Caenorhabditis elegans: one gene and its partners. The protein of the gene in region 3 purifies or fractionates together with the protein of the main gene of each other region. This does not show direct contact. Each region holds a gene or a part of one and is shown on either strand. Other genes may lie near its edges.

Region 1 (10,443 bases), 560 kb from region 3:
AAAAGCTGCTGATTTGGCCGATAATCTCATTGAAATTGATCTCTACAAGGCTGAATATCCATCATGGATTAAGGCTCCAAAGTTGAAAGGATACACTTTCGAGAAGCTGAAGGCTAAGATTCTGGAATTTGCTGAAGTTCATCAGAACGCTTGTGCAGAGTACGGACCATGCGGAAACTTGATGGCTGGATATTGGCTTCAGAATTTGATTGATAAGGTTGCTGATGCTAACGCTGGAAAGGGACCACAAGTTATTGGATACGCTTCTGTAAGTTATTTACAACCTGTCAATATTAATGTGAAACCTCTATTTCCTGTGAAAAAATTATACAAATTTCAAATTCCAGCACACCGAAATCACTCTTTCCGTCATGAAATTGATGGGATACGTGAAGGATGAACTGACCACCTCCGCTGGATTCGTAGTTGAATTTAAACGTCTTCCAAAACCAGCTGTCCGTCTTCTCAACCATGATCCTAACCCAATCGATGATCATGTCATCTATCCAGCTGAACTTACTCCAAAACTTAAGAAATTGGCTGACAAGGATGGATTCATTCCATTGGAACAATTCTTCGCCTATGCAAAACAATTCGTAAGTTGGAAAAATAGGTTAGATTATTGTAACAAATTAACATTTTCAGTCCTTCTCCGATTGGAAGTCTCAATGCGACAAGGCTTAGATTCTTTGCATGAATTTATAATAATCGTTTGATTCGCTTCGTATGTACTAATGTAGTTACTTTTTAATAAATAATTCGAAAGTAATCAATGAAAATTGCAAAATAACGGAGAATGGGTTACTGTGCTCATTAAAGGGGTATACCTCGATTTGGAACTATTTTTGCGATGAAAATCGTTTTTTTTTCTATTTAAAAGATACGTGAAGCTCCATGGAGAACAAAAAAAACTCCAGACTGGAAACCGAAGTGTTTGGATATCGTCCACTTGATACACTGCAACTTTTTCCTCACGAGGGACGAGGAAAAGTGGTTTCTAGGCCATGGCCGAGTCCCCGACAAATTTCAGCGGCCATTTATCTTGCTTTGTTTTCTGTGTGTTTTCTTTCGTTTTCACCGATTTTTTTCCGTTTTTTCTTATCAAAACTAATAAATAAATATTTTTTGCAGATGCTAAAACAATTTCCAAGTGAAAAAATTGTGAGTTCAGTCGGCAAGTAGCGGTAAAAGTGGTCAATGTAATATGATGGATTACGGGAATAAAAAACCCAAACTTTTTCCCAAACATGATACATATGCTGTTTAGATGCTAAAAGTACCTGATTTTCATAACGAGACCGCTGAAAAAGTTTTGAGATTTTCATAATTCAACATTTTGTGCCAAAATCTCGACTTTTTCACAAAAAAAGTTGAATTTTGAAAATCTCAAAACTTTTTCAGCGGTCTCGTTTTGAAAATCAGGTACTTTTAGCATCTAAACAGCATATGTATCATGTTTGGGAAAAAGTTTGGTTTTTTATTCCCGTAATCCATCATATTACATTGACCACTTTTACCGCTACTTGCCGACTGAATTCACAATTTTTTCATCTGGAAATTATTTTAGCATTAACAAAAATATTTATTTATCAGTTTTAATAAGAAAACACGGGAAAAATCTGTGAAAAACACAAGAAAACAAAGCAAGTACAAAATGTCGTAAAATGCGGTGTATTGTGTGCAAACACCGATTTTTCGCATTTTTTCTCGGCCCTCGTTCGAAAAAAGTTGCAGTGTGACACAAAACCTGTCTACACTTTAGTAAGCATAGGATATGTCTATGCCAACAAGGATCATGTACTGAGCAAGACGATCGATGAAGCTTTAGAAGGAGTTCAGGTTCGGCCGTAATTAAGCAATTAAATCTGAAAGTTTGTAAATTCTTTATTCACAGAATTTAAATCAATTATTGTGCAAAAAGGGGCCGGGGTCTTCATATAACATGGAAGAGGTTGCAATACTCTTTCTAATGTTTTCTAGCAATATAATAATAATAATAATAATAATAATACACGTGAGTGGGGGTTAGGATAATAATGCAAATGAATTGCCTATATCTAGTAAAAGGACATTGATTGGAGCGCTTCGATTATCTTCTTGCCCGACGAGAATCTTTCGAGGCGATTGGCGTTTCGCATGACTCGTTCGCGAATCTTCTCGAGCCACATGCCGTACATCTCCGCTTGCTTCTGATCTCGAGCATTCTGACCGAGAACACAAATCTGGATCATCTTCTGAACAACGTAGTTTCCATATTGATGGAAGAGCAGAATGTCGAGAGCATCGCGATTGGTATCTGGATGTGGAATGTAGCCTTCGAAGATCTCGTTCATCATCTCGGCAGCCAGACGGCATGGAGCACATCCGAACGCCACTTCGACCACATGACTAGCGTACTTCTCCTGAGACATCGAGAGCAAGTTCTGCCTGCAAAATTGGAAAAATACATTTATAAATTTGACTATAGAACATACAGAAGGCATTGCTCAATGATAACATCTCTGTAGACAGCCATCGCGTCTCCACATTTGATTACGTGTTGAACAACGTAGTTCGCAAACTCATTGGAAGCCAGTTGAGAACAGTTGCGAGTGACTCCTGACATCAAACTTCGAAGAAGAACGACGCGTTGTTGGTAGCATTCCGCGTATGTATCAGAAGACAGAGTTTCAACGGTCGATTGAATGACACGGCACCCATATTTGTCTTGGCACACGTGAATGAGATTGTCGTCGTCGGCGAAGAACTCCACGACGAAACTCCACGCAGAGACTGGAAGCGTCTTGACGATTTTCTGAATCACGTGGTTTCCGTTTTGATCGATGCTGAGACGGACGAGGTACGTGTCACGGAGCTCCAAGGACAAACGAGTTGCAAGATGAACGTCAAGCTTCTGGATAGCCAGTTGAATGACTCGGCACGCACTCTTGTCAAGGCAGAGATTGTACAAATCACTAGCCAAGTGCTCCGTAAGAATCTCCTGCTCCTCAGTGTTCGAGCACTCCAAGACACGTTGCACGAAAAAGTTACCAAACATGTTACAGCAGAGCGACAAGAAGATAGCACGATCCTCCACCAGTTTACGGAAGAGTTTCTGGTGGATGTCATTGTCGCTCTCCGTTGGATAATGCTCCTGAAGGAATCGACATCCATTCTTATCAGTGGCAAACTCCACGAGAGCGTCGTTGGCGAGCACATCCGGAAGAGTGACCGAGTCCGAAACATTTCCCTCGCCGTCGCCAGCCCAGATTGGAAGTGTGCATTTGTAGCTGCGGGTGCTCGAGCTGAAAATAGGTTAATTTTTTGAAAGTTTCTAAAATTGAGTCTCCATGTCACTTTTCCAGAAGAGCGTTTTTAGCGTGTTTTCAGAACTAACACACAGTTTTTCGAGTAAAATGACGCTGGAAAATTTAAAACTTACTTCAAAGTGTTCGGGGACGACGCGTTGTTCTCCAAATCGATAAGTCTCAGGGCCTGTTGAGGATGACGTGCCGGAGTCGTCATCGGTGTAGAAGTCCGCCATTTGGAAAATTGTCCTCCAAATCCTTGACGATACGGAGTCGAAGCATTCTTTGGTGTCGATGAGACGCGCTGAAATCCCATCGAAGAATCCACATTCCGGTTCGGCGTCCAAATGTTGGAGCTGTTCGAGTTGAAGCAACCGCCGAATGTGTTTTTTCCGGACACATTGCGAGCCTCCGTCGTTGGCGGACTCTCGTGGTAGCGACCGAGGTTAGAGGAACCGGTGCTTTGACTCATATTGGTACGGAGACTAACTGAAAATATTTTTTTGGGAAAAATGGTCGTTTGAATGGACGGAATACGTGGAAAATACGATAGAATTAATGAAAATGAGAGCAAAATTTTGGGAAACGTCCTCGAAGGCAAAAAATGAGCAGAAATGAAGAAATCAGGAACCAAAATGCAAAAATTCGCGCGTTTTTAAAACTAAAATCCCAAAATTTCCCGCGCAAAATGAAATAAAGTACTGTAGAATTTTAAGGCGCATTTCGACGTTAAGCCTATAGGTCTCGCCACGATTGATAAATTTTGGCACAGAATACGAAAAATTCTTGTTTTAAGCGTATTTGAGCGCTATTTTTTTGTTAAATCAAAGAACAAAATTAAATATAATAATAGAATATTTTCAACTGCAACGCGGATTCATGACCCGAATCAGTGGCGCGGGCATCTACAAACTTCAAGAACTCAGTTCCACGACTTATGGTTACGATCTCGGGTTGACTGCAGAATTAGCAGAAGCTAGTAGTTATGATTATGAGCTCATGAAGCATGTCCGGTTCCTGGTGCTTATTGCAGAAAATTTTTAGATTTAAATGCCAAAAGATATTCGGAGCGGGACTCAGCAAAAGAATACGAATCCTTCATACAATTAGATCGGCCAATTGATGGAAACTATGGAATACATTCAAGTATCCTGAAACTGGGACGTGGGAAAAATTCTAACAACACCAGTCAATTTATTTACGAATGACTGTAATTTTAAAAAGAAAACCAAGGATACAAAATGGAGCAAAAAGGAAAATAAAACTCTAGACAATAAAACATTGTACATGATGATATAGAACATGCCATGTTACAGGATAAAGCTGTAAACTAATGAACACAACGAGAAAAATTATTTACGGGAGCGAGAGTATGGAGAAGATCTGGTTTTGCTGTCATCGGCTCCTCTGCGAGTAGTTGGTCTCATCTTGATAGGCGACATTTGTGTTTTCTCGAGAGAATCCTACAAATTGAAACTGTTTGTTAATGTGTACAACACTATTTAATCTAACGGTTATATTATCAACCGGAGACGTCACGTTTCCTCCTTGATCGTTGGCAGATTCAGTAGTATCCTGACTAAGACCTGGGTCGGTGTCCTCCGAATTGAACGATTTATACAGCACATTCACTGGATTGAATGCATACATATCGGAAACTTTGTCCAGATGTCCCTTGAGAGTCAACTCTGCTGCGTATGAATCGGACATCGACTTGCTCCAGCATTGCATGTGTGCAGCGTGGTGTCCCGGGCGTAAGTGACCAATGGTGACCGATTGGATACCATCAGGAAGTGTGTAAAAAGTGGAAGAATCGTCGAAGCCATCGATGCGGAAATTGGATGGAGCATCGTTTGTGTACTTCAATCGAAAATTAGCCGTGAATTCTGCTGGCAACGGTTCGAGAACTTTCGTGCAGAGGAACTGAACACTGCGAACAATCGTCACCATTTGATCCCGTACACTTTCGGCACCCTCATATCGAAGTTGAGCAAGCTCCGCGAAGTGAGGATCTTCCTGGTCATTGTTGTCAGTGCTCAGACGAGCAACCACGCCGCCATTCTCAAAATAAATGAACTTCATAGAGAACACTTCGATGGCTTCAACATCTCCGTCATGCTCGGTCACCACGAGGGAGATTTCTTTCAGAAACCCATCCTTTGTGGCATCCCCGGCGGCTCGAAGTAGTTGAGCGATTTGGTGAGCCCGTAGGTTTTTGAAGCTCAGCGTCATGCAACTCAGATTTTCTGGAAAAAAACATTTACAATACAATGTGATAAGAAAAACAATTACCAGTGATGTAATTCTTCGAGAAATATTCTTTTTCGAGAATGTTACGTTGCCTGAGAACAGCCGAAAACACGACGTAGATTGCCCTGATCATAAAATTGGACGATCGATCCGGGTCGCTGACAATGCTTGGGAAAAGTTTGGACCATGTCTAAAATTAAAAAAATTAAAATAAGCATAAAACCATGAAACAAACTTTATCATCAATGGCATCCTTCGATTTGTTGAGCGACTCGTTGTAGTTATTTTCCAAAGGCGCCATCTGCAAAAAACAATTTGAAGACATTTTTAGGGCAAAGTTTAATTTTTGAATTCAAAAAAAAGAATGCAGATGATGCGTAATTAAAGGTACATCGGATTGGTGCAACCCATTGGTCTCACCACGCAATTACAAAAGCTGAAAATTATTCAAATAATTTTTGACTAAATGCAGCTTTTCTTTTCATTTTAAAGTAAATTTTTTATTCATTTCAAAACTGGCAATAAGTTTATTTGCTAGAAGTAGTTTTAGAAAGTAATATGTTTTAAAAATACGCAAATGCAAGTGAAATTCGCGAACCCGTGGTGATACCTAAATTTAGTTTACTGACTGCGCCTTTGATTACTGTAGCCTGTTTGCTTGGTTTCGAAACGTTTTGAATTCTCATTTTTTGTGCGAATTCACCTAATTTTTCTCCTATTAAGCTCAAAAAACGTTTTCCATTGTTTTCAGATGCCAAACTATCGAGGACGTCATCAAACGAGACAGAATTGGAGTTCTAAGCCAAGAGAAGAGCACTCCCCGAGGTATTTGAAATTAACAAAATGCCATTTTTTCGAGTACTTTCCTTTCAGCAAAGGCACATACACGGACAAAATCCGGAGCGTTCCAGTCAGTGAGGTCGTCAGGCAACAAACGTATGAAACTAATTTTTGAATGCTCCTAATTGATTCATTCTTCAGGGTGAACGACTGGGTGACTACAGGTGCTTATTCGCTTGGATCGCCAGACTCGTGGCCATCTTATCCGGACGAAATCATAGTGAGTGTCACAGTACAACGAAAAGATCTCATTTTTCTTGTTTTAGCTGATGAACGAGTCCCGAAATGCTCAGACATCCCGCAATTCGCGTCGGTCGGCTACTCCCGGTCCAGTGAGTTTATTTTCTTCATATTTTCGTTACGAGACTGATCTTGGTTTCAGAGATTGCCACAAGATAGAAGGACAAGAACTACAGCACCCACCGTTGCGCCGATTCCGTTCCAGAGGGCACAGCCTCGAATAGAAGTGGAGAGGCAAAGAATCAACGAGCCTGTCGCACAGGACCTGATTATCGATAATGAGGTACCAGAAAAGTTTCATCGATTATTAGTTGTAATGTATTTTTGTAGAACGGTACCAACAACTCCAACGATTCGAGTATCTGTGGCATTATGGAGGAATTCGAGGAGCTCGTATATCCACAGTGAGTATCTAAATCAATGAATTAACTCTGAAATCTCTTTTTCCAGATGGGTTTACTATCTGTACCCATTGATTCCCACCGCGCCCAACTGCAACAACGAGAAGTCGTACAAAGAAGGTTCCAATTGGTACATCTCTCCATGAATGATCTCCCTCTTCAGCTTCTCTCAATCTGTCATATTTCTTATGCCTGCGTGGCTCCTCATTCTTTCTCATATTGTCAGTCCCATCATACCCGTAATCAAACCCCCCCTCATTCAATTTTCTCTGTACCGGTTAAGAAGTTCTAACATTGTATTTTCCATGATTCTATATCAGGAGCTGTTTTCCCATTATTAATCCATAATATGATCGAAAGTTATTCACCATCGAGAATTAGAAGTTCGAATTAACTTCACATTGTTTTCTATGAAACGTTCATCCGATCCTCGTTTACCATTCGATCCTTTGTTATATTTTCCCATTTTTACTGTGCCCAACACCTCATATGCATCCTTTTAGGTTAGAAGTCTGCTAATTAGCAGCATAATTTTTGAGCTTTCACTGAATGTCTGTCCCATGCCTGCTCTCTCTTTTCCTTTTTGTTGTTTTCCTCTGGTCAATGTTTCAATTCTTCCTGGTTTTTTTTGAATCACAATAAACACTTTCCAGAAAATCGTCTCGATTCTCACTTGGTGGATTGAAAAGCGGATAGTGTGAATCGAAGTATATTCACTGAAATTGTTCGGTCATTAAGTTAGAATGTGGAGTTCAATTGAAACAATTCCTAGATCAAAAAAATTTCTGTGCGACCTTGGGTTTGCAAAGATTACGGGTCGATCGTTTAATTTCAGGGTATGGACCATTTCTTTCGAAACTTTCAGATTTTGTATCGCAGCTAATATCATCCGAAAAAGTAAAAAGTTTTATTTAATTGAAATGGTAAATAAGAAACTCAACAAGAAATAACAGCAACAAAAAAGGTAAATTTTAAATAGGGAGAGATCATTCAAAACAATTAGAATTACTTCTGCTGTTGAAGTTCCTGTAGAAGCCGTGCAGCAATCAGGTAGGCGAGTCGAGAAGACGTGTCTTGCTCGGCGAGCTCTTTGATCTGAAATTATTTTTCTAATTTTTTAAAACTGAAGAAACAATCGATACTTCATAAGGCTGACTCATTTCATAGCATGTTGTCAGTGAATTGAGGTAGATCGAGATGGAATAATCACGAAGAAGACGAACACAGGCAGCGATTCTGACCATAGTTACGCGTACGTCGGGAGGTACAATCTGAAATTTATTTTATTGCGAAAAAAGCCAAATTTTTTTGTTTTTCTTTTCGATTATGATGATCACGAGTATGATGAATAAATTATAAGGTCTCGTCAATCATTGGAATTATTATAATTTCTCGTTGTTGAGTCACCAAATATGTGCGCTAATTGTTATTTTCGATTCATTTTTCTCAAGAATCACTATCACACCTGAAACTCGTGAACATGTGATCCATCCTCTTCAAGTGTGGTCTCCGGCAACGACGGCGTGACCCACACACTTCCGTTGCAGCCAATAATCACAGCCATTCCGTAGGGTAACGTGTGAAAATGTTTCTTGGACTTTTTGATCAAATGTGGAGGAACCTGCAAAAAAAAGAAATTAATTCCGTGACTTCCCACTCATTTTGTGGATTTTTTTGTCGCTTTATTTATTTTGGCAGCATAAACAAAAAAGAAATATTGCTTTGAACGAGATGTCGCATAAGAATGAGAAAACTCAACACTTTGAAAAGGCGGAGGATATTCGTACAAAAGTGCTCGATTCAATGATCTACCGACTCGATGAACGTGCAAATATGGTTATCACGGAGGTTAGCTTTTCATTAATTTTTTTTGAAATAGAAAATTATTATTAAAGAGCCCAATTCCCGAATGGCGTGCTTATACACAATGGATTCTCATTGCTGCGTTGCTTGTAATTTTTTGTATTCTTCGTTATGGCGTCGAGACTGTTGAACTGCATCCAACTGCAAAGAAGGATCAAGATCCTGTGATTGAGTACAGAGATCGAGAATTGAATAAAACTTCTGAGGCTTTTAGAGCAAGACGCCGTACGTGAGCTAATTGGAATCAATTGGATGATGAATTTAAAGAAATATAACAACTTTCCGAACTATTATTTAAAAATTTATAATTGCGTTTTCTTAAGATTTTATAAAATATTACCTTAATCAATATTCCTTGTTGCAATTTTCCGTACTTATTATTTCTTGTGTGTAGCATAAGTGTTCCGTCGTGCTGGACTTGTTGGACTTCTGCACAGATCAGTTCTCCGTTTTTCAAGAATTCGCTCATTTTCTCCTCATCTTCTACATCTTTTCTGCGAAAGTCTCCTCCTGGCAGGAGAACTGAACCTAGTGGAAGATTTGCATGAAGACGAGATGCCACATCACACTGAAAAACAATTATCGTTATATTTTTCACTTAAAAATTTGAAACCTTCCACCGTTTTGCTTGAACCTCCACGACACGGGCAACTACAACATCTCCGACTTCACCAGCATATCGTTGTTTAATAGTTTTAACCATCAACAGTCGATTTAATTGTTGAACGACTCCAGAGAGAGAACTGACGATTTCTCCGTCGCGAACGTAAGTTCCATGTCCTCTGAAAATCTTAATTTTTTCATTTTTCAAAAAGATATAACAGTATTTTACAATATACATACCTCATAAACTGTTGCGGTGCATCACAAACTGAATGTCCTGGAATAACAATTTTTGTCTCATCAATATCATTTCTTGCTTCGGACATTGATAACATCATCCATGGTGATACGAGGGGTGGACCGGTGACTTCGAAACTCATTTTTTAAATTTTTTTTGTCTGCAAATAACCAAATTTAAATAAACTTAAATTAAACAAAGAAACTGAAAAAAGCTTTCATTCGAAATGAAAATAAAAATAATTATTTCCAACGACACTCCGAAATGACGGAAAGCGTGCTGTTTATCGTAAACCCACACGTCACTCAATTGGCGCCTATTCAAATGTTGATTTTCGACCATAAAAGTGCGAGCCAATTGAGCGTGCAAATTTAATTGTTTCTGCTAAACCAATGACGATGAAAACCCGAAATTGAAATAAAAATAAGGTTCGACACGAAGCCATTGTCTGACTTTTTATAAAGGTGTCATTGGAAGGAAGTGTGAGTTGAATGGGACACCTATAATTTCGACTTGCATGCGAACGGGAAAAATACAACAAAAGAGGATACGTAGAAATATATTGGAGAAAAACTGAGTATTTAAAACAGAAGTAAAAATCGTAAAGGAAAAATTTTCAAAACTTTGGTGGTTTATTGTGCGATTTTTAAATATTTCCTAGATTCCGATTTTGCGGGTTTATGTACTCTTTTTTATTTAGGTTGACTGTAAAAGTATTCTT
Region 2 (10,598 bases), 1.6 Mb from region 3:
ACAAGATGTCAATTTGTCAACTTTGGATGCTCTAAAAACTAGCTGAGGTGAGTAATTGTGTATGAAAATGTTGTTTTCAATTAAATATATGAACTTATAGGCCGTTCATAATCTGTCGATAGCTACAAGGAATATCCCCATTTGGAATATACAACAAGACGCGGCAGATATGATGCCAGTTTCATTCGAGTGGATAGTGGATATAATGCTTGTTGCAAGCAAAAATTCGAAAAGCAGCATGGAAGCTTTAAAGGAATTTGGACAAGTTCTATTCCCAGTTGTGGGTGGAAACTCATTGATACCTGGCCGAGTGTTAGGAGGAGATAGAACACCACTGATCATCCAAGTGTCAGTTGGTTTTGAAACCTTATCAACGGCATTAGCAGGATTCGGACGCTTCATCTATCTACCATCAATGATATTTGTTGAATTGCAAAGAGCTCACCAGTTACATGCGCATTATCCATTTTCGAAAGGATTCAATTTCAACAATCTTGGAATAATGCAGACTAATTTTTCAAAGCAACATGAAAAACGACGACTCGAAATGACCCATGTTCTTCAAATGTTCAATGGACTTAGAATGTTGGTTATAATCATTAAGAACTTTAAAAATGTATTATTTTCAGCCAACTATCGACGATCTTCTCACAAGCTGCAAAACAACAAGCTGATTCTCTAGAAGAACAGATGCGTGAAGATATCAAGAAGATAGCAACATTTGATTCATCTCCGGAAGCGACGGAAAACAGCTTCTCTGTCGAAGAAGAGGATTATAGCTATAAGCTGAATGGTGTCATAATTTTTGAAGGAGAAAATCGGGACGAAGGTCATTTCTTGTTCAGTGAATATACTTTGACCGAAACTTTTTTCACTGTTTCTAGAAGTCTAACAAACTTCATTTTTGTAGAGCTCACTATTTCAGTATAATTAACCAGCACGAGCTTACAGTTGGATTTTTTCTATCAAATTGTATTTAATTTATTTATTGCTAAAAATTTACTGTTTCAAAGCCAGTTTAGAGAGTGCATCCACCAATTCGTTCAGTAGGCTGATCTTTAGAGCATCCAAAGTTGACAAATTGCTATCTTGTGTTATACTGCTAACAATTGTACTTAGAATTGTACGGACATTGGGGATTCTGCTGATGAAATGTACCAAGCATGCTAGCCAGCAGACGTTCCCGTGATTCCAAACGCCTCTTATCGTTATTTTTCCGTCTTCGTTGTTGGTACCATACTGTACTTCAGCGCGATGTGGCATATTTACGACAAAATTGTCTTAAGTCACAACTGCTTGATCGATCTCTTCAACGACGAAAAATCACCAATCGGAAAAACATAAATTTTTTAATAAAAAACTTTTTTTCATATTGAAAAAGTTATAGGTTTCAACATAGGCATAGGAACGAAAAAATCTACCTGCCTGACATAAGGTAGTTACCATACTTTGTTTTTAAGATAACAATTAAAATAATTGTATTCTACTAAACCTTTATTATACAAATCAGAACATTTAATAGAAAGTGTAAACTACCCGGAAAAAAAAGATAAATTATCTCTATTCTAATATTTTATTCAATTTTCTTTTCAGTCTTCTTCTCTGCATTAAACTTCTTGCCACCTCCCTTGATGTATGATTGATAGTAGAAGTTTCCGAACAGAACGACATAAGAGATTTCCATGAGAAGGCAGAACCTGGAAATATTGCATTTTACTAATTTTATGCTGTTTCAAAAGTATTGTAAATTTTCTACAAATTTTAGTTGTTCTAATACATATGTAGTGTCCACTATCAAATTTCCTTGAGTTGCTTGGTAACAACAAAAAAAACTCATAAACTGTGATATTTAGCAAAATGTTTTCAATTTACAAAATGTTGTCGATTAATTATTTTAGTGTCAAAGCTGTATAAACTCATGTTCTGAAATAAATTACAGCAGCCGACAACGACAACATTTAGTGAAATGGTAATATTTTGCTAACTATCACAGTTAAAAAAATACATGTTTGAAAAACTAAAGCAAATCACCAAAAAAAATCAAATCTAGGCGGAATATTAACTTGCATTGTATAGTTTCGTGTTACACTATGTACTAAAAAAAGACACTACATATTGGACAAAAACCCACCAATAATATCCTGGAGTTGAGTCAACAGATTGTCCAGTAACTGCCAAATATCCAACGTGGAAAAGAATGAAATGAGTAATAACGAATTGAAGAATTTGCATTGTTGTAATATTCTTGGCAATCCATGCTGGAACCTTGACACCAAAAGAACGAAGCATATAATATCCATACATAATTGAGTGAACTGAGAAATTCATCCATGTAATCCAAGTATTAAATCCCAAATTAGCTTCAAATGACATAAAAGCATAATTCATTGTAAGCACATGATGATACCAATGAAGGAACATCAATGGCTTTTTACGAAGAATAATAAAAAGTGTATCTCCGAATTCAGCAACTTTTGAGAGAACGAAAAGCCATGTGAACATTCCAGAAAGTCCATTATAAAAGTCTCCGATGTGAATGTAAGATTCGAAAAATCCACGGCTGAAGAACTCGTGGAGAAGTCCAAATGTAGTGGCAAGTGATCCGAGAGTTGAGAAAATAGCAAGACCCGCATTCCAGAGATTCAGTGGTCCCGTGAGCTGGAAATAAATTAGTGGGGTTTTAAGTGGGTGGATTGGTGGAAAATATAATTCCCGTTTCAACCGCAATTTTTATTTTGTAGTATATTTCCACTGTTAATTGAGAAACGATCACAATTTTCTTTTAAAAGTTATCAAAGCAGTATTTATAAAAGTTTTTGTTTTAAAATGGATAAAAGCTAAACTTTTGATTAAAAAAAATTGAATTTTCATAAAATGTTTACCGTTTCAAAGAATCTATAGACTCACATCGCATTTCTGGCCCCACTTTCCAGTTCTAATTACCTCCGAATAGTTAAGAAATCACCAAAGATGTACTGTTTCAGACAATCTATTTAGAAAGTAACATCAAATAAATAGTATTTTGTATCTGGTGGCATTAAAAGTAAGAAAATAATTACTGTTTCAGGAAATATTTAATTGTGTGATACAAAATGAGTTCTAATCTACCAGCAATGTATTTTCAATTAATCAAAAAATGGGTTCTTAATTATTTGCAACACTAAACTGTTCAATAATAAAATTTAAATTTTACCGAAAATTTACTGTTTCAGAGAATCTACAAACTTACATCAAATGGTTTTCGGTTTGTCATGACAGCCTTGAGCCCAAAAATAACGACAACATATGCCATTGAGATCCAGAAAGCAGCATACTGAGTCTGTGCAATATGCTTTTTTGAGAGCTCATGACTGAATGGAGCAGTTGTCAGCACCTCAAAGAATGAGACTTCTCCCTGTGGCATTTTTACCTGCAATTTTAAACTTAAAAAAAGGAACTGCCATATGAAGAGTGTGGCTCAAAGTAAACTGCTAAATAAGAACCAGATCTAACAGGTGGGGCTTAAGATTACTGTAGATGGGTACAAGGTACAAGTCTCTAGACTAACATAAGAATACAACAAAGCAAACATTTTGGCTCCAAGAGCCCGAAAGTCACAAAACACGGTCATCACCAACTCCTTTTTATACTTAACCATCTCGTTTTCTGCGTCTCTCCCTCTCTCTCTCTCTTGTAGTGAGATACCAAATGGTGGTCTGATTTTTTTTGTTGGAAAAAAAGGTAAAAAGGCGGAGGCAAGTGATTTTTCGAAGAAAATTCGGAAATTATGGGGCGATGAAAGAGGCGGTAGACGGGGGAAAGAGAGAGAGGGAGAGAGTGGAAGACATTTGTTTATAGGTTTTTTGAAGTGAAACGATTCAGAACACACTCAATGTACGGTCAAAGAATTGTAACTCTATTGATAAGATGTTTTTTATTAAAAAGTAATTGAAAAGTGCCTGAAACAGTAATTAAATTTCGTATATAAATGGTTTTTAATATATTTTTTCATGATTTGTGTATAATACCCAGTAACGGAATTTTGTGATTTGTGCGCCAAAAATACTATACCAGGTCTTGACACGAAAAATTTGAGTTTAATGCAAAAGGCTGTGCGCCTTTAAAGAGTACTGTAATCCCAAACCTACGTTGCTGCAGATTTTTTTAAAAATCGATGTGATTTGCTAAAATTAATGTGTTCTTATTATTATCATTGAGAGATTTTTTAATGAATACAAGTACAATTAATTTTTCCCAAAATACTATGAAAAATCGATAAAAATTAAGTTTTTTATTAAGAAGAGTTTGAATTTCCAGTATTTTCTGAAATAAAAAATTGTATTTTTAATCTTTTTAATCAAAAATTGTATTCTTTAATCTTTAATCCTTTTAATCCCATGACCTGGTATTCTTGGCGAAAAAATTACAACATTTTGTGTCTGGGTAATATCCAGTCGTGAATTCGTGAATTAATTCGCCAAATCTGAAGACTCCACTTCAAAAGAACATTTTTCTCTCGATAGGTCTCGCCACGATCCATTTTGTTGGCGACAGGCGCGACTGCTCTTTCTTAAATGAAAATTGAGATATTTGTTCGCTAGAATGTGATTTTTTAACAGAACATACAAATATATGGTTTTCGTGGCGAGACCAATTTAAAGTAGCACGCGCCTTTAAAACGACTACAATCAACCTGAATACTACATAAAATTGTTTCAGACACTGCAATAAAAAAGCTTTTTCTGATAAATTTTGTGACGTCTGACATTGAAAAGTAGAATAAACTGTGTTTTTTTTCAAAACTTGAAACCAACAATCAACAATCGCCACGTTCCCTTGCAAACCACATAAATTTTAGCAAAGAACCTTGAGAAAAGTTATCGAGGTCAGCATGAATGGTGAATACAAAGAGAATTTCGAGATTTACCGAAAGATACTCGGAGCGGTATCCAGCAGAAGAAGAAAAGAGAGAATCCTTTTTAGATTGGTCAATTGTTGAAAAATTCTGAAATGCACTGGAGTATCTTGAAAATGGAGTCATGGGAAACATGCTATTTAATAACACCAGTCGATTTATTTATGAATGACTGTAATTTGAATAAAAAAAACTAAGGATACAATAATGGAGCAGAAAGGAAACACTCAAGACAATAAAACATTTTACACGATGATATAGAACATGCCAAGTTACAGAATGAAGCTATAATCTATTGAAAGCTAGGAAAAAAATTATTTACAGGAACGAGAATATGGAGACGATCTGGTTTTGCTGCCATCGGCTCCTCTGCGAGTAGTTGGTCTCGTCTGGATAGGCGACATTTGTGCTTTCTCGAGAGACTCCTACAATTTTAAATTTTTTGTTTATATGTAAAAAACTAATAAACTAACAGTTATATCATCCACCGGAGAAGTCTCGTTTCCTCCTTGATCGTTGACAGATTCAGTAGTGGCCTGACTAAGACTTGTGTCACTGTCCTCCGAATTAAACGATTTATACAGCACATTCACTGGATTGAATCCATGCCTATCGGAAACTTTGTCCAGGTGTCGCTTGAGAGTCAACTCTGCTTCGTATGAATCGGACATCAACATGCTCCAGCATTCCATGTTTGCAGCGTGGCATCCTGGGCGCAAGTGACCAATGGTTGCCGATTGGATATCATCAGGAAGTGTGTAAAAAGTGGAAGAATCTTCGAAGCCATCAATGCGGAAATTGGATGGAGCATCGTTTGTGTACTCCAATCGAAAATTAGCCGTGAATTCTTCTGGCAACGGTTCGAGAACTTTTGTGCAGAGGAACTGAACACTGCGAACAATCGTCACCATTTGATCTCGTACGCTGTCGCCACCCTCGTATACAAGTTGAGCAAGCTTTGCGAAGTGAGGATCTTCCTGGCCATTCTTGTCAGTGCTCAGACGAGCAACCACGCCGCCATTCTCAAAATAAATGAACTTCATAGAGAAAACTTCGATGGCTTCAAGATCTCCTTCATTATTTGTGATCACGAGGGAGACTTCTTTCAGAAACCCATCCTTTGTTGCATCCCCAGCATTTCGAAGTAGTTGAGCGATTTGGTTAGACCGTGGGTTTCTGAAGCACAGCGTCATGCATTTCAGCTTTTCTGAAAAAGAACATTTACTATAAAATGTGATAAGAAAAACATTTACCAGTGATGTAATTCTTCGTGAAATATTCTTGTCCAAGAATGTTACGGTTCCTAAGAACAGCCGAAAACGCGACGTAGATTGCTCTGGTCATGAAATTGGATGATCGATCCGGGTCGCTGACAATCCTTGGGAAAAGTTTGGACCATTTCTAAAGATGAAAAAAATTACAATGGCCATAAAACCATGAAAAAAACCTTATCATCAATGGAATCCGCCGATTTGTTGAGCGATTCGTCGTAGATGGTTTCCAAGGGCGCCATCTGCAAAAAAACAGTCTCATTTTTAGGCAAGAGTTTGTAAATGTGAAATATAATATAATTCCTCGAGGAATACTATGCAAAGAAAGAAAAAACCCAATGACAAGCTTAAAATGATACACTAAAAAACGAAAAATTATTTTCGAAACTAGGAAACGATATTTGAATTTTAAAAAACACAGAAAATCGTCAATTTCGAAAGCCTAGGAAAGAATTTTAGGATTTCAAAAATGCAAATAAAATGCTAAATTAAAGGTACATCGGATTGGGTAAGTCCATTGGTCTCGCCACGCAATTACAAAAGCTCAAAACTATTCAAATAATTTTTGACTAAATGCAGCTTTTCCTTTTATTTTAAAGTAAATTTTTCATTCATTTCAAAACTGTCAACAAATTTGATTACTAGAGGTAATTTTAAAAAGTACTATTCTTTAAAAATACGCAAATGCAAGTGAAATTCGCTAACTCGTGGTGAGGCCTAAATTTAGTTTACTGACTGCTCCTTTGATTACTGTAACTTGTTTGCTATTTTTAAAACGGTCTGAATTCTCATTTTTGGACGAGTTTGCCTAAATTTTCTCCTTTCAAGCTCAAAAAACGTTTATCATTGTTTTCAGATGCCAAACTATCGAGGACGTCATCAAACGAGACAGAATTGGAGTTCTAAGCCAAGAGAAGAGCACTCCCCGAGGTATTTGAATAAAAAATGTCATTTTTTCGAGTACTTTCTTTTCAGCAAAGGCGCATACAGGGACAAAATCTGGAGCGGTCCAGTCAGTGAGGTCGCCAGGCAACAAACGTATGAAACTAATTTTTAAATGTTCCTAATTTACTTATTCTTCAGGGTGTACGACTGGGTGACTACAGGTGCTTATTCCCTTGGATCGCCAGACTCGTGGCCATCTTATCCGGACGAAATCATAGTGAGTGCTGTAGTACACCGAAAAAAAGTTAATTTTTCTTGTTTTAGCTGATGAACGAGTCCCGAAATGCTCAGACATCCCGCATGTCGCGTCGGTCGGCTACTCCCGGTCCAGTGAGTTTATTTTCTTCATATTTTCGTTATGAGACAAACCTTGGTTTCAGAGATTGTCACAAGATAGAAGGACAAGAACTACAGCACCCGCCGTTGCGCCGATTCCGTTTCAGAGGGCACAGCCTCGAGTAGAAGTGGAGAGACAAAGAATCGACGAGCCTGTCGCACAGGACCTGATTATCGATGATGGGGTACCAGAAAGTTTCATTGAACATTAGCTGTAATGTATTTTTGTAGAACGGTACCAACAATTCGAACGATTCGAGTATTTGTGGCTTTGTGGAGGAATCCGAGGAACTCGTATATCCACAGTGAGTATCTAAATCAATTAATTAACTGAAATTTATCATTCCAGGTGGGTTTACTATCTGTACCCATTGATTCCTACCGCGCCTAACTGCAACAACGAGAAGTCGTACAAAGAAGGTGGCAATTGGTACAACTCTCCATGAATGATCTCCCTCTCCAGCTTCTCTCAATCTGTCATATTTCTTATGCCTGAGTTGCTCCTCATTTTAAGAATGTATCATTCTCATATTATCTGTCATATTCTCACTCCCATCATGCCCGTAATCAAACCCCCGTCATTCATTTTTCTCTGTACCGGTTAAGAAGTTCTAACATTGTATTTTCCATGATTCTAAGTCAGGAGCTTTTTCCCCATTATTAATCCATAATACGATCGAAGGTTATTTACCATCGATGATTGGAAGGTTGAATTAATTTCACATTGTTTTCTATGAAACGTTCATCCGATCCTCATTGACCATTCGATCCTTTGTTATATTTTCCCATTTTTACTGTACCCATCACCTCATACGCATCCTTTTAGGCTAGAAGTCTGCATTAGCAGAATAACTTTTGAGCTTTCACCGAATGTCTGTCCCATGTCTGCTCTCTCTTTTCCTTTTTGTTTTTGTTTTCCTCTGGTCAATGTTTCAATTCCTTCTGGTTTTTTTGAATCACAATAAACATTCTCCAGAAAATTGTCTCGATTCTCACTTGTTGTGTTGAAAAATATTCACGGAAATCGTTCGGGCAGTAGGTTAGAATGCGGAATTCAAAATCCTGGAATAAAAAATAGTTATGAATCTGTTACATGTGATCTTTGTTGTATCACTGATCACTATTCCCGTGTTCCTAGCTTCTTCACATGCTTCATCATTCTTTGAGCTCTGGTAACTTATTTTGCATGGCGTGTTATCAGTGAGTTGTTGAATGGTGTGACATGAATTTCCGAGAGAAAAACTATAGAAAATAATTATGTATTTGGGGACTTTCGAAGTACAATGAAATGGGGGAACGAAGCATAATGGAAAAAATGATATAAATTATATACTATCCTTATTAATTATTCTGCAATCAAATATGGAAAAGATCACGCAAGTTTGGAGGAAAGATTGGGAATGGAAATTGACTAGATTCGTTCGGAGATTCAGATGAATACTTCGTCGATTATTGAATACTGAGCACGACCCGGTTGAGGAATGAATTCGAGCCAATCTGATGGAGTATTCGGTAGAAGACCCATTGTATGTACTTTATAGATGGCAAGACCGATTGCTCCGAGGTTTCCAAGGCAGAAGATGAGCTTGTGAATAAACATTGATCCAGTTGCAGGGCTCTGAAAATGTTAGAATATTTTTTTGTTTAACGCCTTCTCCAAACAACAAAAACTAAAAGGTACAAAAACCAGTACTAATTAGCTTCAAACTATAGTTTGTGGGAACTCGCAACTTACCTCAAGCGGTTTGAATGTGGAATTGACTGCGAATAATGCTTTCAGCGGCCTAAACACCATCATTCCGACCATCATAATTGGGAAAATCGACACACCGCCTCCGGCCATATACATCATGAACATGTTCATCGGCAGAGATTTAGCTGGTCCCATTGCAGTGTCCCATACTCGTTTTCGTGCCAGATGCTCGTGTTGATCAGCGGATCGATCGGCTTCGGCCTGAAAATTGAGAAATTATAAAATTAAGGTTTTAATAATAAGCAGATTTTTTTCTTTCTTAATGTTTTTTAAATACACAATTTTAGCGAATAACTGTTTTTTTAAGACTTTTCAATTCTCGAAGAAATTCAACTCACGCTATGTTGAACGGTGGCAGCTGTCGAGTAGAAGCCTGGCGGGTTAAAATTACTGTCCGCAGTACGACAATTCTTCGAAGAGTAAGTGTAGTCAAGTTTCCAAGCCGATAGTGACATTCTGGAAAAGAATTGAATATTTAAGAGCAAGAAACAAATGGCAATGAAAATTAATGAAAGAGCAAAAATCGATAAATACGCCAGGTGGTTGCTGACGCGTTCTTTGATCGCGTTGGCGCACTCTCGGTGTCGGCATAAAATTTAAACTGATATTTTTCTTCCCTCGGCGTTTATTGTTGTTTTTGTTTTTTCTCTCGGTTTTATTTATAACTTTTATAAATTTTTCAGATCAAGATATGAGTGGAGCAGTTTATGGAGGAGGTATGGGAACTTTGATCTTTTAAGTTATAGATAAAACGCCGTTTTCTTTGCAGACGAGGTTAGCGGCTTGGTTTTCGATGCCGGATCTCAATCATTCCGCGTGGGATTTGCTGGAGAAGAATACCCAAAGGCAAGAAACATTTCAAGAATTGATAAATTTATACCTTCAAATATATTATTGCTTTATTTTTTTAGGGAGATATTCCATCATACATTGCCGTTCAAGAAGCACTTCCTGATGATACTATTGAGAAACAAGAGGCTATGGAAGAAGTACGCAGTTTCAATTTTTAATTCATTTTCAATGAAATCATTATTTTTAGGGTGATAACTCGAAAGTGCAAACAAAACGCGAGAAGAATTTTTTCATCGGAACGACCAAAATCATTGTGCCACGCGCCAGAACTAACATGGAAAGTTTTATGAAAGAAGGATTAAGTGAGTAATTTGACAGAAGTTAAAGTTAAAGTTAAAAACAAAAAAATGCTTTTCAGTCGAAGATTGGGAGTTGTTCGAAAAGATTGTGGAACATTCGTATGAGAATATCCTCTACTCCAATCCATCTGAACATCCGGTTTTGTTTTCTGAAAGCTCGGTAAGAACATTAAGGATTATTTAATAAGAAACACTTGTTTTCAGTGGAATGACCGTGCTCGTCGGGAGAAGCTGACTGAGATCATGTT
Region 3 (10,411 bases):
TTTTCGGTGTCAAACGTGTGATGTTCTACTTGTTGATTTGATTTATTTTGCACACGACAATCAGGTTAGGAATTTTTTAAAAAGTAATTTTTACTATCAGAAATTGAATTTTTTGGAAGATATAGACAATGTGTCAATGGTCAATACATATAGTCAATTTTATATAATCAACAACAACCCAAACATTTTTAGATTTGTCAAAAATGTTCGGTAATAGTTTTGCCTAATTGTCAAATTTCTCATTTTAAAATTTGATTTAAAATTGAAAAATTTCGAGAATTACTGCAGACTCATCATCTCTACAAAAAAAATTTTGGGATGTCTTACGATGTTATTTGATCATTCTATTTTGAGACCGTGATAAAAGTTTTATAAAAGTTTATGTTTTTTTCACAAAACAGTAAAAATTTGCAGATCTACTGTGGAAGACACCATGCTGAACAGGTCAAGCCGAGATGTGCCAAGTGTGATGAGGTGAGTAGCACTATTTTTGTACTTTATATTCCCTTTCTACTATAACAATTGAACCATCCATTTTATGGCCCCCTTACACTGTTTGCTTTGAGTTTCCGATACATGTGGTGTGCAAACTTTTATGATAGGCGATTTGGTGAAACACCAAGCGCCGGCGGTTGGAGGAGAAAAAAGTGTCGCAACTTGAAATAATTGAGGACAAGAAAGCAAAAAGAATAGTAAAAATAGTTTGGAAAAGAAGAAAAGGGAGATTTGCTAAGAAACATTTTTGAAAATTTGAATTTTTGGTTTTTGAAACATAATTTGTAAAAAAGAAAACGTAATTATACCTATAGATATAATTCAATTTGGTACGTGTGTACTACAGTGCGTCCAACTTCTATAGCACCCCCCTCCAATTTGGCGGTATGGAGCCTCTCAAAATATTTTTTGAAAAAGTGTTAGTGCAGTTCGATAGCAAATGTTGAAAAACCTATGCTCCCCAATTTTCATTATGATATCTCAAAAATCACAGGAATTAGGTCAAAATATCGGAAAAATGGCCGTCCAACTTCTATAGCACCCCCTCTGATTTTTGGCAATTTTCGGTAAAATCGGGGTTTTCTTCTTAATTAATAAGTTTATTTTGTGAATAACTTTACACCAAAATAATCAGACGGTTTCATTTTCACATTTAAAAAATAAATATAACCCCTGAAAACACGTGGAACGCCTAGGATTGTCCTGGAACGTTCGTATTTGCTTCAGAGGCCATTTCTCGGCTCCCAATGATTTTCGCAGCACCAAACTTGACCAAAATAATCTTCCCCACCTATTTATTACTATTCAAATAATTGTTGAAAACATTTATTCATATGAACCAAATGGTAAAGGGAGCAACTGCAGTGATTTTCAAAAGGCTTGATTTAACTATGAAAACTAGCGTTTGGAGGCGCAGAGCTGATGGTTTTGACTTCCTATTGTACAGAATTTTAGCTCATCCGGTTCAAATATCCTTGAAGCTTTGATTTTGATTAGAAGTCTTCGAAAATTTATTAGGAAAAGTTCATGAGACCGCTCAAAAGAGGACAAAGGCAAAGCGAGGCCGCAAGTATTTTTCTCAAGCTAACACGCGAAAATTTTAAAGACGAAAGTAAGATATAACTTTCTGAATGACGATTTTTCTAGCTGTATTTATAACTCAACTGAAATTTAGCGAATTTGCTCATTGAATATTTCTATGGTCAAAGAACCTAAAAACTAACAGACAAAACCTGAATCGGTGATTGTAGATGTTTAGCATTTGATGTATCCATGGATTTCCACAGATTTGATGTTCACATAATATAATTTTTATTTTTTTGCTATAATTTAGTAATTTTTAGTCGAAAATGTATTACCAACCTTCAGCTCTGCGCCTCCAAACGCTAGTTTTCATAGTTAAATCAAGCCTTTTGAAAATCACTGCAGTTGCTCCCTTTACCATTTGGTTCATATGAATAAATGTTTTCAACAATTATTTGAATAGTAATACATAGGTGGGGAAGATCATTTTGGTCAAGTTTGGTGCTGCGAAAATCATTGGGAGCCGAGAAATGGCCTTTGTAGCAAATACGAACGTTCCAGGACAATCCTAGGCGTTCCACGTGTTTTCAGGGGTTGTATTTATTTTTTAAATGTGAAAATGAAACCGTCTGATTATTTTGGTGTAAAGTTATTCACAAAATAAATTCATTAATTAAGAAGAAAACCCCCGATTTTACTGAAAATTTCCAAAAATCAGAGGGGGTGCTATAGAAGTTGGACGGCCATTTTTCCGATATTTTGACCTAATTCCTGTGATTTTTGAGATATCATAATGAAAATTGGGGAGCATAGGTTTTTCAACATTTGCTATCGAACTGCACTAACACTTTTTCAAAAAATATTTTGAGAAGCTCCAAACCGCCAAATTGGGGGGGGGGGGGGGTGCTATAGAAGTTGGACGCACTGTAGTAGCTGCACCCTAACAATTTTGTGTTAATAATTCCAATAATTCCAATACTATTTTCTGACTCGTGGGACAAAAAATACATAAACGATTATATCTTTTTTTAGTGCAATTACGGTAGAAATCCTTGGCAAAAATACATGCCTCCCTCTTCAATTTCAGATTTCTAGAGTGTCTAGTTTATTTTGGAACTTTTTTCCTAACCTCCAATTGTGCTTCTTCGAAATTCACGTTCACAATTGTAATTCTCGTAAATTTGTGACCCCACCAGTGAAAGTTGCGCTTTTCCAGATGCTTCAAGGTTCTCCCGATATTAAATTTCAACTCCCAAAGTTAAAACGGCCGCCAATCAAAATGCAATATGATTCAAATATCTTTGATTTTCAGGTCATCTTCGGGGATGAATGCTTAGAAGCTGAAGGACGATCGTGGCATTTTCATCATTTTCAATGTGCACAATGCAATGATGTTCTAGCTGATCAAAAATATATGCAGAGGTATACAATTTAAACCCGAAAAAGTATTTTAAACCATTATTTCCAGAGCAAACAAACCCGTGTGCTTGAAATGTTTTCACTCATCTTCATCAACATTTTCATGTACAACATGCCGTCTTTCATTCTCTTCTGACACTCCACATATGTCACAAGGAGATCTTCATTGGCACGCGTCTGCGGAATGCTTTTGCTGTTGTGTTTGCTCCAAAAACTTGCTCGGCGTGAAATATTCGCGAGTTGGTGAATCCCTATTTTGTGGATATCAAACATGTGGTGGAGAAGACGAAGAGTTGCTTGATGAGGATCGGTTGGGTTCGCCGCATCGAAAAGTGACACAAAAATCCACAAAAGTGGTTCGTATCCCAGCTTCTCCGAGGGTTGCACCACGTCATCCTCATGTCATTCAACAGAATTTGACGACGACAATGACGATTCAGAAACCAAGTGTGGTTATTCAAAATCAACGACCAAAACCACCACAAAGAGCTCCTCCACCTCCTCCATCAGAAAATATATATGAAACTGTTCTACCATGTTCATCGAATAATAGTCCAAATTTCGATAAGAAGTACTCTCATGAGGTAAGATAATTAACATTGTAATTGAATTAGGTTTTTAGTTTTAAATACCTACTTGAAATATTTTAATACCATAAAAAACGATAAATATCATTTGCTTTTTCAACTCTTGTTATTATGGAGGACGCAGGAAAATGCCCTGTTGATATCAAACGCGCTTCACTGTCAAGTGAAACGTTCCGCCCCCAAACTATGGGTCTCGTTAGGTATTTGGCGGCAATAACGGTATATTCAAAAGATGTTCACTCCATCTGATTGGTTTAAGAGTAGGCGAAGCAAATCTCTAGTTTGTTTTGCAGTTCTTTTTTTAGAGGAGAATTGTAGAGAGAGGGAGATAGAGAATAGCAAGACTTGGAAAATAGAGTTTTTATTTTTTTTGATTTTTTTAAATGAATCTCTTGGCCCTGGGAGACTATTTCGAATATTTCAAAGTAAAGTTGGCTGTACTGTTTCTTAAAATGAGAAAACTCTAGACCAACAATATTTCAATTTTCAGCTTCCTACATCTCCTAACCACCATAATTACTACTCAAAAACACCAAATAATCTGCTTACTGGGTATCCCGAAATGGATGGATATAGTACATCATCTTCGTCGGATTCAGATGATGAACAGCTTTACATTTCAAATATTATGGCAGCCGCCTCGTTGAGTAGAGTAAGTTTTTAATTTATTCCACACTATCAATTTGAGATTTTCCAAACATTCAATCATAAAAAATTCAGGTTCCTGCAAAGTCTTCCAGTCGTAAATCAAAGAAAAATGAACCAATGATGATGTCGGGAGGCGGTGTTCGAATGGCAAAGAAAAAGAAAAGTTCCAGATGTACAGTATCTTGATATACTTGTCCAAACATTTACTGAATTCCTGAAAAGCCCATGTGATTCTTTTATACTTCTTCTTCAATTTTAAGCCTTTTCCTTCGTTTTTTTCTGCACGGTGAATTGTCCCATTTTATTAATTCAATATTGAACCTATTTTTAACACCCAGCCAACAGTGCAAGTAATGTAAAACTTATTTCAAATGAATATTCACTTCTCATTTGTCCGAATTCCAACACTGCTTCAATGAAATAAATTTATCTGAACTGGATTTGAATGTTTGGTCCATTTCAAAATAATTTATTACGCTACTTTTTTCTAAATCTACGAAACACCAGACTTACAGTGAAAGAAAAATAACTCAATCAAACAGATGAAACTATACGTGAAGAAGATAGATTGATATCACACAAGAGAAGACAAAAGCACGACAATCAATGAAATTATAAAAACAATGGCTAAAAATATAAAACAAGAGAAACATTGCACATGAGTGAAAACTTTTCGACTAGTCCTTATTCTTCTTCGTAATGCCCTGACTGAGACCGTAAGGGGAATCTCTGGAAATTCGTCCCTTCCTTTTCGATTGGTTTGCCATGATTGACATATTTGGATTGAGTGTGGTCGTTTTATCCAGATCGAAGTCTTGCTTCAAGTATTGTGAAGCAGCAAGCATTTGAATTTTGTGATGACCGCCACACACGATTCCAATAGATGCTTTCCTAATATCCTGATTCAGCGTATAGAACATAGGACTCAGCAGATAGCCTTCGGGTGTATAGTCTTTTGGAGCTTCTTAAAATAACAGTTAGAAATAGACTAAAGCTGTGAATGTAACCTACTTTCAGTGTACGAAACACGGAAACTCGCGTCGGACCCTTGAGGAAGCGGCTCCATTTTCTTGATACACCGGTGAAGTTTCTTGATTGTGCTTGCAAACATTTGTTTCGTGTTGTCGGTATCAACGAATTTCGCCTGTAACAGTTCTTGACTGCTTTCGTTCGTGTCGATTCCGCTGAAAACAATTGAAAACGAATAATTGAATAAGACCAGCAGCTTACTTATTTAGAGATACGAAAATCTCTCCTTCATCTCCATAAGCAAACCTGAACGCAAACACTTCATTAATGTCTTCCTCGTTTGGCTTCTTGTAGAACACGATTGCGAACTCTCGCAAATAGCCTTGTTGAATCGCATCTCTCAATCCGTCGAATGTTGAAGACACACGCTTTGCGGCAGGAACACTGCTCTGGAATGCGGTGACCAACAGTTTATCTGTATAAAAATATTTGTGATACATTGTAAAATAAGCCATACCTATTGTTCGAGTTTTGAAGCATTTTTCGTCCAAAATGCCACGGCGATCGAGAATGAAGGCCGAAGCACATTTTATGTAGCGAAGCGCAAACATTTCAGAATTTTTTTCAATCTCTAGATCAACGGGAAACGTGGCCTTCCACTGGCTGGCTATAGGAATTTCAGACTCGCGGTGCTCAACAATCTGCTCTTTCGTCGCCATCGCAAACCTACAATTACTGAAATATCATCGTGAAACAAATTAAAATGTTTAAAAAATAATATCTATAAAATCTATAACAAGTTAAACATATTATTTAATTATAAAACCCCGCATTGATTAAACATATTTTGATTTGAAAAAAAAAACTAGAAAATAGGTAAAATAAATCTGGAAATAGTTCAGAAACTTAGAAATTATTAAAGGCGCATGGAAGTTTCAGATCTACGGGTCTCGAAACGAACAACTCGACGCGAACGCGGAAGTTGCAATTTCGATCTCGTCCCAATTTTCTTTTCCGTTTTCTTACTTTTTTGGGTAAATTTTGCGTTTTTTTGAATTCTAATCTCGAAAAATTTTTTAAAAATTTAAATATTTATTTCAGTTTCATCCATTTCACATGGAGGCTAACAAGCGAGAAATTGTGGATTTCGGTGGGCTGAGATCCTACTTTTTCCCAAATTTGGCCCACTACATCACGAAGAATGACGAAGAACTGTTCAACAATACATCTCAGGTTGGACTATAATATTTAAAGACCGATTTTCTATTATTCAATTTCAGGCCAATAAGTTGGCTGCTTTCGTGTTGGGAGCTTCCAAAGACGCTCCTGGAGACGAAGACATTTTGGAGATGATCTTGCCGAACGACGCTAACGCTGCCGTTATTGCTGCTGGCATGGACGTTTGTCTTCTTCTCGGAGATAAATTTGTAAGTGTGAATTAAACTTATTGTAATCAATTATAACGTTTTAGCGTCCGAAATTTGATGCTGCTGCTGAGAAATTGTCAGGATTGGGACATGCTCATGATCTGGTTTCTGTCATCGATGACGACAAGAAGCTCGGAATGCTCGCCCGTAAGGCCAAGCTGAAGAAGACTGAAGACGCTAAGATTCTTCAAGCTCTTCTCAAAGTAATCGCAATCGATGATGCCGCCGAAAAGTTTGTTGAGCTCACGGAACTTGTCAGCCAACTGGATCTGGACTTTGATGTTTATGTCCTAACTAAAATCCTCGGACTTATCTCTGAGGAGACTAGCGACGAGGTCGACATTATCCGTGATAACGTCGTCAACGCATTTGATAGCTGCAAGCCGTTGTTGAAACAGTTGATGTAATTGTTGTCCTTTTCAAAATAATTCGATTTTTTTTTTCAATTTAGGTTGGATGGTCCGAAATCTGAACCTGCCGATCCATTCATTAGTCTCCTCATGGATCCACTCGAAGAGTCTGTTGGGAAAGTTGTGAACCATATCGCTCAACTTTTCGAGGAAGCGAGTAAAAATGAAGGAGACGAGTCACTTGTCTTGAGATCTCAACTCGGATATCAGCTCTTTTTCCTTATCGTTCGTTCACTTGCAGATGGAAAGCGCGAGGTTTCCAAGAAAATCCTCTCTGGGATTCCTACGAGTGTCAGAGCGGAAGTCTTTCCAGGATTGCAAAGAAGTGTCTACAAGAGTGCGGTGTTCCTCGGCAATCACATCATCCAAGTTCTTTTAGGATGTTAGTATTTTCGTCTTTGTTTACTTTTAAAATCTAAATATTTCAGCTAAGAAGTCTTTTGAGGATTGGGATGTTGTTGGAGTCGCGAAAGACTTGGAGAGCGCCTGGAAAAGACGAGCCATTGCGGAACTTATCAAGAAGTTCCAAGTCTCAATTCTAGAGCAATGCTTCGATAAGCCCGTTCCACTGGTGAGTTAATGATTCTATAAACATTACTTACATGACCGTTTTTCAGATTCCTCAGAGTCCACTAAACAATGATGCGGTGATCGATAATGTGAATAAAGCTCTACAGTTTGCACTGTGGCTTACAGAGTTTTACGGATCCGAGAATGAGACTGAAGCGCTGGGCGAGCTTCGTTTCTTGGATTCCACTTCAAAAAATCTTCTCGTCGATAGCTTCAAGAGTGAATATTCCTTTTTTTATCTCCTGTTAACTTTTTAATTTCAGAATTTGTTCAAGGAATCAACTCGAAGACTCATGTCACTCGAATTGTTGAATCACTGGAGAAGTGTTGTTTGTCCGATACACCAAGTGGCAGAAAGAGCAATGTGCAACCATCCACTTCCCAACAGCAGGATTCCGCCTACACGAAAGAGGAAATGACGACGGTTCACAACACATACAGCGTAAATACTAAAGCTCAAGTTCTCAACGGTCTCAGTGATACCAATTCTTCCGGGTTACTTGTCGATTCAAAGGATTCACTCAGTCTTCAGGAGATTTCTTGTGACGAAGTGGATTCTTCGACTTTGCTAAGCTCATCAAGAAACATTGGAGAAGGTGTTACTGTAAAAGCGGTCGATCCTGTCCCAGAAAAGGTTAACGATGCACAACAACAGCAAACAGTTAACGAGATCGAGATGGCTTCGGATGCCAATCAAGATACTTCTTCAAGTGCTTCGCCAGAAGTAGCGCCAAGTTTTTCCACCGATGGCTGGGATTCTCCAACGAAATCAGTAGCTCTGCCACCGGTATCGCGTTCATCGTTTCAGAATTATAAAAATATTTCTTTCAGGGCATGCAGCAGATAGATGAAGAGGAAACCACAGTTGCTGACAAAGATTCTACACCACAACCACAAGCTCGTGCTGAAACTGCATGGGGGTCAGGCGACGCTACTCCAATGCCTCTTCCTGCCCCGACTAATCAATACAAAGTCAGTGGATTTGGGGAAGCCAAAGTTGCAAAAGGATTCGGTCAATTTGCTCCCACCAGTTCAGCTTATGGAGGAGGAGGTGGTCGCGGAGGATATGGCGGTGGAGACCGTGGAGGCAGAGGTGGATACGGCGGAGATCGTGGAGGTAGAGGTGGATACGGCGGGGGAGACCGCGGAGGACGAGGTGGATACGGCGGAGATCGTGGACGTGGTGGTTACGGGGGTCGTGGTGGACGCGGAGGTTTCTAAACTCCAACTATTGAATGTTTAATTTGTTTTTTAAGTATACACTTCTTGTATACTTACACGTTTTACGCACATTATTTATTCTAACAATCTTGTTGTAAAATCCCTAAAACCTTGACTGTCATTTATTATTTATTCAACCTGTTTTTCCTTGTTCCCGGTAAATGTTTGAACTAGATTGTTGCAAGAAATTAACTCAATTAATTACACGTATATCTCTTTCTGCGGCTTGATGAGAAAAGTGATGTCTGAATCGACGGTGCCGAATGATTGGTGGATCATAAAATTAACAGGTGGCACTGCATGCATTCTTATACAATTTCAACTGATCTTATCATACATTTACGCATATTAGAGTTGTAAATCGTTATGAGACATCTGCATTCGAACATAACAAATACCGTATTTCTTCTATTAATATGGCTGCAATACTATTTTTCGATGGTCTTCCCGCTTGCAATACTAATAGGGAATGCAAGACTATTAGGGAGTGCAATACTAATTTTCAGAGCATTTTCTGACTTTGAGCTTACTAGTTTTTTCCTGAAAAAGCTCGAATCATATGTAAAAATTCAGAAAATTTGATTTTCATATAAGTTCAAAAACTTCGATCTCGTAGAAATGATGTGAAAACTGTTGCAAAATAGGCAAAAAAATGTTGAAATCCTAAAATTAGCGAGACGGGTTTGCAATACAAAAAAGTTAACGCAAGACTACTAGAGAGTGCAAGACTAATAGGGTGTGCAATACTAATTTTCGGAACGTCTCCGAGGGGCAATACTAATAGGGAGTGCAAGTCTAATAGGGAGGCCATATTAATAGAAGATATACGGTAATATACATTTTCATAAGATAATACAAATTGTAATAAAACAATCAGTTCACACAGTGTAGATCATTTGGAAATCGTTTTCTAATCTTAAAATCAATTGATTCGCAGAAAACAGGATGTTGTTTATAAATAAATTCACCTCGCTTCACAACCTTCTCTTCCAGTACTTTCGAAAATTCAGAGTCCATTTGACTAGTAGTGTATGGCCTGAATATTCTTATCCAAGATCCAGCCAAACTCGTGGAAGCAGTTGTACGGTAATGTCTGACATATCCTATTTACCGTGGAGCTGTCTTTATTTTACATTCTTCATGTTGTCGAATAGTCTAATGAAATGTAATTGCATGAACTTTTGTTGGTTGAAAAAGTGATTTAAATGCTTTCCATCTATGAGTAGTTGTCAAATTGTAACGAAGAAATGAAAGGGAAGCACGTGTTTCGTCAATTGATGTAAATTTCAAAGGATCATCGTATAATTTTTGAACTCTACGACTTCCAAAGTTTATTTCACATATATTTGGAGCTTGTTCTCTGAAATCTGGCAGTTAAATAACTAAATATCCATCCACCTAAAACTAAAAGATTACCTGACAAATGAAATCAATGGCATTTCGGTCATAACTAATCTCTCGTCAATATCAATACTTATTACCCAATTCGAGTGAAATTTACTGCGGAAAAAGCATTCCTGGAAAACATGAAACTGGAAGTCATCTCAGAGGATCGAACAACATTGTACCTTTACCTTTAAGTTGTTTGTTTCACTTTTATTATTTTTTTAATCCCAAGAAATCCCTAATTTTCTGGAACCCA

The links.
Region 1: the proteins of him-3 (region 3) and htp-2 purify together in Caenorhabditis elegans (co-purification; one study listed by BioGRID). This does not show direct contact.
Region 2: the proteins of him-3 (region 3) and htp-1 purify together in Caenorhabditis elegans (affinity purification with western blotting; 2 studies listed by BioGRID, with this or other methods). This does not show direct contact.

Annotation. Positions count from the first base shown.
Region 1 is NC_003282.8:6,414,924-6,425,366, reverse strand, and holds htp-2 (HORMA domain-containing protein), read right to left. Parts: upstream 5,846-10,443; 5' UTR 5,839-5,845; coding exon 5,773-5,838; intron 5,728-5,772; coding exon 5,580-5,727; intron 5,534-5,579; coding exon 4,800-5,533; intron 4,751-4,799; coding exon 4,640-4,750; 3' UTR 4,469-4,639; downstream 1-4,468. Other genes in the region: acp-6 (Histidine phosphatase family protein), read left to right, coding at 1-268, 348-596, 646-684; puf-11 (PUM-HD domain-containing protein), read right to left, coding at 2,058-2,427, 2,475-3,284, 3,422-3,759; Y73B6BL.23 (uncharacterized protein), read left to right, coding at 6,289-6,362, 6,411-6,473, 6,519-6,597, 6,644-6,709, 6,760-6,900, 6,948-7,021, 7,068-7,164; Y73B6BL.22 (Nitrogen regulatory IIA protein), read left to right, coding at 8,750-8,866, 8,914-9,114; exos-2 (Exosome complex component RRP4 homolog), read right to left, coding at 8,024-8,113, 8,161-8,289, 8,484-8,639, 9,222-9,449, 9,495-9,663, 9,725-9,864.
Region 2 is NC_003282.8:5,385,151-5,395,748, forward strand, and holds htp-1 (HORMA domain-containing protein), read right to left. Parts: upstream 6,408-10,598; coding exon 6,342-6,407; intron 6,296-6,341; coding exon 6,148-6,295; intron 6,102-6,147; coding exon 5,368-6,101; intron 5,320-5,367; coding exon 5,209-5,319; 3' UTR 5,039-5,208; downstream 1-5,038. Other genes in the region: F41H10.12 (CACTA en-spm transposon protein), read left to right, coding at 170-585, 630-930; elo-6 (Long chain fatty acid elongase 6), read right to left, coding at 1,574-1,697, 2,132-2,658, 3,230-3,403; ZK616.5 (uncharacterized protein), read left to right, coding at 7,022-7,095, 7,141-7,203, 7,249-7,327, 7,375-7,440, 7,491-7,631, 7,678-7,751, 7,796-7,892; perm-3 (ER membrane protein complex subunit 4), read right to left, coding at 8,876-9,064, 9,182-9,400, 9,538-9,654; swsn-6 (Actin-related protein 4), read left to right, coding at 9,891-9,915, 9,969-10,045, 10,111-10,188, 10,239-10,353, 10,410-10,510, 10,555-10,598.
Region 3 is NC_003282.8:6,972,975-6,983,385, reverse strand, and holds him-3 (HORMA domain-containing protein), read right to left. Parts: upstream 5,879-10,411; 5' UTR 5,861-5,878; coding exon 5,659-5,860; intron 5,617-5,658; coding exon 5,403-5,616; exon of another isoform or gene 5,357-5,402; coding exon 5,184-5,356; intron 5,137-5,183; coding exon 4,850-5,136; 3' UTR 4,621-4,849; downstream 1-4,620. Other genes in the region: prkl-1 (LIM zinc-binding domain-containing protein), read left to right, coding at 1-64, 415-474, 2,831-2,940, 2,987-3,521, 4,015-4,176, 4,245-4,358; Guanyl-specific ribonuclease pgl-1, read left to right, coding at 6,068-6,175, 6,243-6,374, 6,422-6,568, 6,613-6,971, 7,020-7,360, 7,407-7,549, 7,596-7,767, 7,812-8,335 and 1 more.